Macaca fascicularis: one gene and its partners. The protein of the gene in region 1 purifies or fractionates together with the protein of each later gene. This does not show direct contact. Links are inferred from orthologs where the notes say so. Each region holds a gene or a part of one and is shown on either strand. Other genes may lie near its edges.

What was found.
Region 2: the proteins of MALT1 (region 1) and CARD11 purify together in Homo sapiens (affinity purification with western blotting; 6 studies listed by BioGRID and IntAct, with this or other methods). This does not show direct contact. The link is inferred for Macaca fascicularis from reciprocal best matches to the Homo sapiens genes MALT1 and CARD11.
Region 3: the proteins of MALT1 (region 1) and CSNK1A1 purify together in Homo sapiens (affinity purification with western blotting; 3 studies listed by BioGRID and IntAct, with this or other methods). This does not show direct contact. The link is inferred for Macaca fascicularis from reciprocal best matches to the Homo sapiens genes MALT1 and CSNK1A1.

The regions. Positions count from the first base shown.
Region 1 is NC_088392.1:22,306,360-22,310,609, reverse strand, and holds the start of MALT1 (mucosa-associated lymphoid tissue lymphoma translocation protein 1), read left to right. Parts: upstream 1-1,439; 5' UTR 1,440-1,657; coding exon 1,658-1,866; intron 1,867-4,250. UniProt on the Homo sapiens protein: Protease that enhances BCL10-induced activation: acts via formation of CBM complexes that channel adaptive and innate immune signaling downstream of CARD domain-containing proteins (CARD9, CARD11 and CARD14) to activate NF-kappa-B and MAP kinase p38 pathways which stimulate expression of genes encoding pro-inflammatory cytokines and chemokines.
Region 2 is NC_088377.1:36,476,993-36,480,508, reverse strand, and holds part of CARD11 (caspase recruitment domain-containing protein 11), read left to right. Parts: intron 1-2,535; coding exon 2,536-2,715; intron 2,716-3,516. UniProt on the Homo sapiens protein: Adapter protein that plays a key role in adaptive immune response by transducing the activation of NF-kappa-B downstream of T-cell receptor (TCR) and B-cell receptor (BCR) engagement.
Region 3 is NC_088380.1:156,385,614-156,389,129, reverse strand, and holds part of CSNK1A1 (casein kinase I), read left to right. Parts: intron 1-373; coding exon 374-480; intron 481-2,238; coding exon 2,239-2,387; coding exon of another isoform or gene 2,388-2,392; exon of another isoform or gene 2,393-2,500; intron 2,501-3,516.

The DNA.
Region 1 (4,250 bases):
TAGAAGACCTTTGTTGAATTTAAATTAAAAGGCAGGATTCCCGTAAAGACTAGATTTGATTTGCATAATTGGCAGATGCAGGTAATAGATCCTCAGAAAATATTTGTTCAATGATTGAGGACAAAACGGGAAGGCACCTGAAGTGGTTGGGAAAGGCTTGCCAAGTCAAACTGAGTATGTATGTGTAAGGGTAATAGCATTTATTATCTACGATGTGCCAGTTACCGAGTTAAGTGCTTCACATAGGCAACAACTCTATATAAACTATTTTCAGTCCTGTGTTAATAGATAAGGCAGAGAAATTAAGTAACTCATTCAAGCTTCTAACCCTTGAATCCAGCAGATCTTTCCGGGTCCAAAGGTCATGCTCTTAGCCATCGCACTGCAGTCTGAATTCTGAACTTATGCTAGAGTGAAGTTTAAGGACTGCTTCTGCTAGAAAGAGGTGGAGACTGTATGGCGCACCTACCTCGCCAACATGTATAAGAATATAGGTATCCAAATTATTGATCAGAAAATCCTGCTGCCTTGGGTGATGAAAAGCTAATGGCAACAGAAATTGGGCCAGGAAGCCTTGTGTAGGGAACTATCTGGTCACATTTCTAAGTTACTTCCTTTTTTGTCCCAAACGAAGCCATAGTTTTCAAAGGAATAATGGCCTTGGATGTTGCTAAGATTGGCAGAGAGAGCTCAGGTGTCATCCATTCCGGATCATTCCAGGGAAGGGCATCCTCTACAGGGTTGTCTGCTTCGACGAGGAAGATTGCGGGCGGCAGTCTGACCCGGGAAAACCAGATGATTCCTGCTAAATACAATCATTTCCCAGATCTGATTAGCCTTAAATATGCCACAGCTCAGTTTGCAAAGTAGTAATTTTTTAAAAGTCTAGTCAAAAATTTTGGTCAATTCCAACTCAAGTATCCGGATCTCTAGCACTACTTCCCTCTAGCAATGCCATACACATCTAACCCTAAAACGAGGAAGCGTCCACTGAGGTTGCCCATTGCAGGATTCTGGTGTGTCGCTGGGCACATGCAAGTTCCTGAGTCAGGGGAGAGCGCCCACCGGAGACTGCGGGCGGGAGCCGGCGACGGAGAACCGCATGCCCAGCTCTCTGGCGTGAGTACGCAGGCCTCCTCCCACGGTCTCGGGAAGCCCAGACGCCGCAGGCTTCCTCGCAGTAGAGGAGCTGCCGGGGCGTAGTTCCTCCACCGCTTCCTCCTCCAGCTGCACCCAACCCGTCCTTTCCTGCTCTGTAGGGCCTCCCCACCTCCCGGGTTTGAAGCGCGCGCCACTGCCAGCCCGGGACCGCAGGGGTGGGCAAGGGAGGCGCACAGCCGCACGCCCGCCCGCAGTAGGCGACCCTGCCCCGCCCCTCGAGGCCCAAGGTCCCGCCCCTCGAGGCTCCGCGCCTCGCCCCCCGGGTGCCCCGCCCCTCTGCGTGGCTGGCGTGGCCGGTAGGCCCGGCTCCCCCAGGCAAACCTGTCTGGTTGGGGCGGGGAGCGGAGCTTCCTCCTCCGAGGGCCGTGCCGCGCTGCCAGATTTGTGCTTCCGCCCCTGCCTCCGCGACTCGGAGGCGAGCGGAAGGTACCCCGGGGCCGAGGCCCGTGACGGCGCGGGCAGGAGCCCCGGCAGTCCGGGGTCTCCGGCGCGGGCCATGTCGCTGTTGGGGGACCCGCTGCAGGCCCTGCCGCCCTCGGCTGCCCTCACGGGGCCGCTGCTCGCCCCTCCGGCCGGCGCGACCCTCAACCGCCTGCGGGAGCCGCTGCTGCGGAGGCTCAGCGAGCACCTGGACCAGGCGCCCGAGGGCCGGGGCTGGAGGAGGCTGGCGGAGCTGGCGGGGAGTCGCGGGCGCCTCCGCCTCAGGTGAGCTCGGGGCCGCGGCAGGCCGGGCGAGCGGGCCGAGCGAGGTGGGCTCCCGTGGGGAAGTGGGGGCGCCGTCGGCGGGGCTGAGCGCGGCAGGGGCCGCCGGCGTGAGTGAGCGGAGGTGGGGAGGACTTCGGTCATTGAGACGGAGCGGAACCCAGCAGCCCCCTGGAACGCCTGGGATTTGAGAGCGGAGCCCGGGGCTCCGGAGGGAGGAGGCAAAAGTGGCCCAGCGGCTGCTTAGCTCCCTGTTCCCACCCCCGCCCCTGGGTGAGAGGGAGAAGTCGAGGTTGACTCCGGAGGATAGTGAGAGAAGGAAAGCTGTCAGGAGACCCCTGGGATGGGGCAGTCATCCAGAGGACTTAAAATGCAAAAGAAAGGGATGTGGACACTGCCCTGGGAGACCTAAGGAAGGCTGGGAAGAAGCGCAGGCGAGGTGATGAATGCCGAGGGCGGGGTGCAGGAATTCATGAACATTTTGCAGGGTATTGGAAAAGACTGACGCCGAACTCATCATCTTCCTCCATCAAACCAGGTTACCACGTTCCCTTTTTGACTTCACCATGAACATGAAACTCGAATTAAAACTATTTTTCCTTATTAGGTTTGGAATGGCTGTATTAGAGTTCCTGAAGTTTTGGTCTCGAGACTCCTTTACCCTCTTAAGAATTATTAAGGACCCCAGAGAGCTCTTATGTGGGTTAGAGATAATACATACATGTAATATATACTGATATTTACCGCCATTGAAATTAAAGCTAAGACATTTTAAAAATATTATTTAAAAAGAATAACCCATTACATGGTAGCAGAAATAATACTTTCGTGGAAAAACAAATTTTCCAAAACAAAAAAGTCAATTAGAGAAGTGGCATTGGTTTTCGTTTTGAAGATCTCTTTAATGTCTTGGCTTAATCACAGAGCTGGATTCGTTTATGTGCTTCTGCATTCAGTCTTTTGCACTATTACAGGTCACAGGACACTGGAAACTGCAGTGTCCACTCCTGAAAGAATGAATGAAAAAGCTAAATAAAATCTTAATATTATTATGAAACATCTTTTTGACCTTGTGGACCGCGCGAAAGGGTCTCAGGAACTACACTAGGGGTTCCCAGACCCCACTTAGAACCATTACTTTATACCATTGTTGTAATTTTGGCCTGCCTTTGAACCCCTTAGCAGTTTTTTAAACTTCTCAAATGACTATGATTTGTCTTATAGTATAATTATTTGTACACATCTGTATAAATGCCTTAAGAACAGAAACCGTCTCTTAATATTGTTATGTGTAGAAGTTAGTAAATACTTGATGAAAGGGAAGTCATTTATTCAAAATGGTATTAAGTGCTTACTATTTGCTAGAAATTTTAGAAGATAAAAAACTTAACAAATATTAAATTACTAATCATAAGGGGTTATCCAGTAATGGACTATTATTTGGGGACCTTTACAATGACATTAAATGCTGTGTTGGATATGAATGATAGTGGATTTTTGTCATTTATTGAGGACATGGTATGTACCATAAAATGTACTAAATATTTACATGCTGCTGCTGCTGTTTCATTCTTCTTTGTTCTTCTTATTTTTGCATTATCTTTTTTTTTTCCCCCAAGATGGAGTCTTGCTCTGTCGCCCAGGCTGGAGTGCAATGGTGTGATCTTGGCTCACTGCAGCCTCTGCCTCCCAGGTTCAAGCAATTCTTCTGCCTCAGCCTCCCGAGTAGCTGGGATTACAAGCATGCGCCACCACGGCCCGCTAATTGTTTTTATTTTTAGTAGAGAGGGGATTTTGCTGTGTTAGCCAGGCTGGTGATCACCTCAGGTGATCCATCCGCCTTAGTCTTCCAAAGTTCTGGGATTACAGGCGTGAGCTACCCTGCCTGGCCACATTATTTTCTTAAACCCTCCTGTCAACTCTCAGTTTCAGAGTCTGGGATTGAGGCAAAGGGTAATAGTGATTTGGAATTATTGCTTGTGCAAAGGAGTAATGATGTAAGGAGGGAATAACTAGCAAGACCTAACAGAGAGGTGGCATTTTTTTTTTCTGTTCTGGGAAAAACATGTTGGGCTTTTGGATACGCAAAAAAAAAAAAGTCCAAAATACTGTTATGCTAGGTCCATAAATTTCTGAATTTCTGGACTTACCATAATGTAAAAAATTGTCTTTGGGGGCAGATCTCCAGAGTATTACAGTGTTAAGAGTACTCTAGTTAGGGAAGGTTCTGGGCTTCCTGAAGAAAGCCGGGTGTGGAGGACTCCTACATGGCCGTGAAGGAGGGAGAAGAAAGTCAGCAAGGCCCTGCCAGGGCAGAAGCATGGCTGCTGGAATCCAAAAGCAGTGGATACTTGATGTTGGGTGTTGTGTTTTCTTTGCCTGCCTTC
Region 2 (3,516 bases), on another chromosome or scaffold:
GAGGGAGGAAGGAAAGAAGGAAGGAGATGGAGGAAGGAAGGAGGGAAGGAAGGAAGGAAAGGAAATGAAAGAGAAAAGAGAAAAGAAATAGCAGGAGAGTCAGTGGGGCCAGAGCCAAATAAACAAATGGTGCAGAAGGGAGTGGAAGGGATGGCGAGGTCCAGATCATGGGGCCATGGTAAGAACTTTGGGATTTATTCTAGTTGTGATGAGAAGCCTCTGAAGGATTGAGAGCTGAGGAGTGACGATTTATATCTGAGAAGGACCACTCTGGCTGCTGGGTGGGAAATAGACTCACAGAATATTTATTAAGCACCTGCCACGTGTGAGGCACTGTGCTAAGCGCTGTGGGAGACACGGGGATAAATCACGTGAGCTGTGCTTAGGTCACTTACAGTTTAGTGAAGCAGACAGATCTGTAAACAATCCACCGGGATTCAGGTGAATGGAGTCAGTGGCATAGCTGGCAATAGTGTTTTGGTTAGGAGCATGAGCTTTGTAAGTCCTGTAGTTTTGAGTTCAAATTCTGGCTTTATGCTTTACTACTTACTTAGCTATTGGCTTCAGTTTCCTCATTTGCAGATGGCAATAATGAAAGTAATAGCTGTGCCCTAGGATTGCTGGGATACTGAACCGTAAGCCTTGGGGCAGAGTGGCTGACCCTATAAGCACCCCGCAATGCTAGCACCCCATGCCTGCTCGTGTGGGACTTGGGACTTAGCATGGGACGCTTGAGTTGAGCTTTGAAGATGCTGAGGAGCTTTTTTTCCTTTTTTTTTTTTTTTTTTTTTTTTTTTTTTTTTTTGCATAAGCAGGAGAGATTTCTATGCTGTTTTTACCTAGGATTTGAGGAAGTTATCCTGTAGCAGGGACTTACAAGTTTCTCTCCTGGAACTTTCTCCTGTGTTATGTTTCCCTGGAGATATATTAATAGTGAGAAAGTATAAGTAGAATTTGGAAGAACATATGGCCAGCAGAGTCCCTGGCTGGTTTTCTTGGCCTCAGGCTGCTTCCTGCACGCCCATTTCTTCATCGTCTCAGGTTAATCACTGGGGTGCAGGAGCTGGACTTTTCTCACTAAAGCCACTGCTCTCTACCTGCCAGATTCCTTGAGACGATTCTCCCTCCAAGACTAGGTTTGAAAAAATGACACTCTCCGCTTTGGTGCCTCCTTTCTTTATAGCCCTTGAATGCAACCTTCTTATTTGGGATATTTTAGCCAAGCCAGTGTGTTTGGGGAGGCACACAGTTTAGTCTCACAAGTTGAAGAAGTCTTCTGCTGGTCCCAGTTCCTGACACTAAACTCTTGAGTGTGAAAATCAGCACATCTCCACTTGTCTCATTTCTAGATGCAATAGCTGCCTCCTCCAGGAAGCCACTCTTTCTGCCACTAAGTCTAGGGAAGTTCTTTAGGCCGGAGATCCTGTGAAATTACAATTAAGTGGATTTCAGGCTATCTTCTTCTTCAGTCACTCTTTCTGCCACTAGGTCTAGGGAAGTTCTTTAGGCCAGAGATCCTCTTAAATTACAATTCAGTTGATTTCAGGCTGTCCTCCTCCTCCTCCTCCTTCTTCTTCTCCTTCTTCTCCTTCTTCTCCTTCTCCTCCTTCTCCTTCTTCTTTCTCTTCTCCTTCTCCTCCTCCTCCCCTCCTCCCCCTTATTCTCCTTCTTCTTCCTCCTCTTCTTTCTTCTCCTCCACCTTATTTCTTCTTCTTCTCCGTCTCCTCCTCCTTCTCCCCCTCCTTCATCTTCTTTCTCTTTCTCTTCCTCTTCCTCTGCTCCTTCCTCCTCCTCCTCTCATCCTCCTCTTCTTTCTTCTCCTCCCCCTCTTCTTCCTCTTCTTCCTCTTCCTCTCCTTCCTCCTCTTCCTCTTCTTCTCCTTTCTCTTCTTCTGCTTCCTCTTCTTCTTCCTCTTCTTCCTCTACTTTTCTTCTTCTCCTCCTTCTCCTGCTTTTTCTTTCTTTTTCCTCTTCCTCCTCCTCCTCCTCTTCCTTTTTAGCAACAGTGCTATTTATCCAAATAAAATCTGTATGAAACCCCAAAGAACAAACCACACAAGCAGAGCTGTTCTGGGACGTGAAGTCAGGGTGGACGCCGAGAACCCCGATTTCTCAACCATCTCCTCCTTCCCCCTGGATAACCCTAGGATTCTTCAGGGGAATCCTTGAGTTCTGAGGATCAGAATTTGAAAAACCCATCAGAGAAGGGTGTTGACGTGAGAAACACCAACTTGGATCTCTTTTATCCCAAAATCCATAACCTGTTCCACCCGACAAAGGTTGAGGGAATTTTCTCTGAGGTCTGTAGCCCCTTTAGAGCTATTTCTAAATAGACTAATCAGGAACTCTCCATCAATAGGGAGATGATGGTTTGTTTTACTGGAGAAGGTTTCTTGAAGCCCTTCTCTGCCCCTGAAAGAAGGAGGGGCATAACTCAGGTTATGCTGCCAGCCCAGTGGAATCTGGGGTAGCGTTGCCTTTTCTGAGTGTTTCTTGCCACCTGCCTTCTCCCCTCGGCACCCTTGGGGTGTTTCAGATCGATCAGCTAAAGCACCGGTTGAATAAGATGGAGGAGGAATGTAAGCTGGAGAGAAATCAGTCTCTGAAACTGAAGAATGACATTGAAAATCGGCCCAAGAAGGAGCAGGTTCTGGAACTGGAGCGGGAGAATGAAATGCTGAAGACCAAAAACCAGGAACTGCAGTCCATCATCCAGGTGAGGGCCTGGGGGCGGGGCCAGCGCAGGCAGCGGGAGGGTGAGGGCTTGGGGTTGGGGGAGACGATGCACCTGCCAGGGTGTGAGTCCCAGAGCCTCACTCACACCACGCTGACTGCAGGATCACAGACATGCATGCCATCCTTGGGCACCTTTGTCTCCTCCTCTGTAAAGCGGTGACCACCCCACCACGCATTTGTCAGAGACAGGAGATCATACTTGGGAAAACATGTCCTTGTTTGAAGCACTCCAGGAAAATCACCATCCATGTGGAAATCAATGCCCTGGGCACTGTGGGAAGAGACAAGGACGTCTGGGAAACCTACACGCCCTTAAAGATTTCAGAAAACTCAACTCTAAGCTCTGTGCCACTTGTTCCAACCTCAAATGCCTCCCCGCACTTGTCAAAGTGGAATCACTTGTGGGCATGGAGGAGGAAGCTGCCGAGGAGTGACATCCCAAAACATATCTGCAGGGCAAGAAAAAAAACATGCATCCTCTGGCTCCCTCCAGAACAGTCCCCACCAGGAGCGGCTGCCTGGTATTTAAGGCTCTCTTTCGGAGCCGAGGGTGAACCCAGCTTCACCAGAACAGATTCCTCAGTATTTCAGGGACAGCATCTAAAAAGCCGATCCAGCTTCCCTTTGCTGTCACCTGTGAAGTGTTCTAGGTGCACCAGTTGCTTCTCTGCGCTCTAATAAGTGCCAGGGAGAACAAAAGGCCCAGGATACTCCCAAGCAGAAGCCAGTTTTCTGCTTCTTTCCAGGCAATAAACTTCTTAAATGATAAGCTTCTTAGAGA
Region 3 (3,516 bases), on another chromosome or scaffold:
GGAGACAGATTGAGACCCTGTCTTTAAAAAAAAAAAAAAAAAAGTTTATGAAGAGGCGGGGCTTTGATGAAATGACAAATTTTAACAAGTGGGCTATGTAAGTTATTTAAGAACATAGTACTGTATAGGACAAGCACATATGGGAAAAGCATATGTATTTCTTCTACTAATATTGTACATAATAGGGTAGGTAGAGTCATGAAATTTTATTTAAATTTATGAGGAGACCAAGCCATCATTTTAGCTCTCATATCTTCCTGTGAAATGGTAAAATATCTCACCCAAAAATATCTTTTTGCTTGTACTTAAATGCATTTATTTTTCTATCTTGAAATGTTTGTTTTTAACTTTGTTTTAACCCTTGAACTTATAGGGGTTTCCTGCAGAATTTGCCATGTACTTAAACTATTGTCGTGGGCTACGCTTTGAGGAAGCCCCAGATTACATGTATCTGAGGCAGCTATTCCGCATTCTTTTCAGGTCAGTTTTTAAGGTATTTTAAGATTATAAACTCTGTGAGGGAAATTGGTTAAATTTACCTAACAAATTCATTCTGATAAATACTAAAGTAAAGCAGATCTGACTAACATGAATAAAAGATTTAAGAAACTGATTTATTTGGGACTAATTTGGCATTTTTCTATTTGCAGTGTAAATAGGTGATTTTAGTTTGGAGTGGATAGAGAGTTGAATCATACTCAAAGTAGAATGTAACTTTTCCAGAATAGTTATAATTCATATTAGATATAAGTGGCTGTCAGTGCCTTCTGGAACTCTCCAACTTTGTTACAGTACCAAATAGAAAAGCAATTAAAATATCACATAGTCATGGAGTCTAATCAAGTGGTAGCAGTCCTAAACTCGGGTAGGGTTCCTTAGGCACAACCCAGAACTGGTCTTGAAAAAGCGGGGGGGAAATAGATTACATGTGGCTCAAACTCTTAGTTGGAAGAGAATAAGAATTGAGGTAATCCAGCCAGGTACGGTGGCTCACGCCTGTAATCCCAACACTTTGGGAGGCCAAGGCAGGCAGATCACTTGAGGTCCGGAGTTCGAGACCACCCTGCCCAACATGGTGAAGCCCCATCAAAATACAAAAATTAGCCAGGTGAGGTGGTGCTCGCCTTTAATCCCAGCGACTTGGGAGGCTGAGGCAGGAGAATCTCTTGAACCTGGGAAGTGGAGGTTACATTCAGCCGAGATCCCGCCAGTGCACTCCAACCTGGGTGACAGTGAGGCTCTGTCTCAAAAAAAAAAGAGAGAAAAACAAAAAGTAATCTGCCAGACACAATGGCTCACACCTATAATCCCAGCACTTTGGGAGGCTGATGGGGGTGGATCACCTGAGGCCAGGAGCTCGAGAACAGCCTGACCAACATGGTGAAACCCCGTCTCTGCTACAAATACAAAAATTAGCCGGGTATGGTGGCAGGCGCCTGTAATCCCACCTACTCAGGAGGCTGAGGCAGTAGAATTGCTTGAACCTGGGAGACGGAGGTTGCAGTGAGCCAAGATTGCACCACTGCACTCCAGCCTGGGCAATAAGAGCAAAACTTTGTCTCAAAAAAAAAAAAAAAAAAGAAAAAGAGAGAGAGAATTGAGGTAATCCTTTAACCCCAGAAAAGTGTCTTCCCAAGGCACCAGTCAGACATCTTATAACCAAACTTCCAGTTGAATATTTACTCTTACTTGTTTTTAGGAAGTACCTCCTCTTACGAGTATTCCCGTAGATAACTGACAGCTTGACTTGATGTTTCAGTTTTCATGTTGCCTTTTTTATACATAAGAGAAATATTTTAGAAGCTGCCACACTTGAGGAAATATTCATTGTGTGAAGAAATGCTCTCACTGTCTTAAAAAGTTAGTAGATTATAAAGCCGGGCGCTGTGGCTCATGCCTGTAATCCCAACACTTTGGGAGGCTGAGATAGACGGATCATAAGTTTAGGAGATCGAGACCATCCTGGCTAACATGGTGAAACCCTGTCCCTACTAAAAATACAAAAAAAAATTAGCCAGGCATGGTGGCGGTTGCCTGTGGTCCCAGCTACTCGGGAGGCTGAGGTAGGAGAATGGCGTGATCCCGGGAGGCAGAGCTTGCGGTGAGCCGAGATCGCGCCACTGCACTCCAGCCTGGGGGACAGAGCGAGACTCCGTCTCAAAAAAAAAAAAAGTTAGTAGGTTATATAACTGGACTCTGTTATTAAAGGATTAACATAAAATATTTTATGTTTTCCAGGACCCTGAACCATCAATATGACTACACGTTTGATTGGACAATGTTAAAGCAGAAAGCAGCACAGCAGGCAGCCTCTTCCAGTGGGCAGGGTCAGCAGGCCCAAACCCCCACAGGCAAGCAAACTGACAAAACCAAGAGTAACATGAAAGGTTAGTAGCCAAGAACCAAGTGACGTTACAGGGAAAAAATTGAATACAAAATTGGGTAATTCATTCATTTTTAACAGTGTTAGATCAAGGAGGTGGTTTTAAAATACATAAAATTTGGCTCTGTGTTAAAAAAAAAAAAAAGACGTCCTTGGAAAATTTGACTACTAACTTTAAACCCAAATGTCCTTGTTCATATATATGTATATGTATTTCTATATACATATATGTGTGTATATTTATATCATTTCTCTTGGGATTTTGGGTCATTTTTTAACAACTGCATCCTTTTTACTCATTCATTAACCCCCTTTCCAAAAATTTGGTGTTGGGAATATAATATAATCAATCAATCCAAAATCCTAGACCTAACACTTGTTGATTCCTAATAATGAATTTGGTTAGCCATATTTTGACTTTATTTCAGACTAACAATGTTAAGATTTTTTTATTTTGCATGTTAATGCTTTAGCATTTAAAATGGAAAATTGTGAACATGACGTAATTTCAAGAGGTGAGTCTGGCATGACCCCCGAAGTGTCTATCTTCTCAGTTGCAGAGCATCTCATTTTCTCTCTTCAATGCTCAAATAAACGCAAAGCTCAGCACATCTTTTCTAGTCACAAAATAATTCTTTCATTTGCAGTTTAACTACATATGATCTTAATTTCAAAACGATTCCTTTGTTTTTGGCTTGATTTTTTACAGTGTTGCAAATATCAGGCTCCCAGGGTTTAATGTGGAATTGAAGTCTGCAGTCAGGCCTTGCAAATTGAAGATAACTGGGGCAAATGCCATTGAAACCGCTAGTCTATTTCCTTTCTTCCTTTCTCTGGCACTCTTACTGCCTGTAAGGAGTAGAACTGTTAGGGCACACTGTTGCTATACAGTTTGACTCCCATTTTCATGTTTTGTGTTTTTTTTCCCATTTCTGGGGCTTACCTCCTGATACCTGCTTACTTTCTGGAAGTAGTGGGCAAGTAAGATTTGGCTCTTGGTTTCTAATTTTTAAATTTCTGAATGACTGCTCTAGTCTGAACTTGGCCTTTATAGATTAATCTTTGCTTCACATTTTTAGTGTTGTATTTAAACTATTTTATAATTTAAAAATAGATTCTAACCTGAAGATACT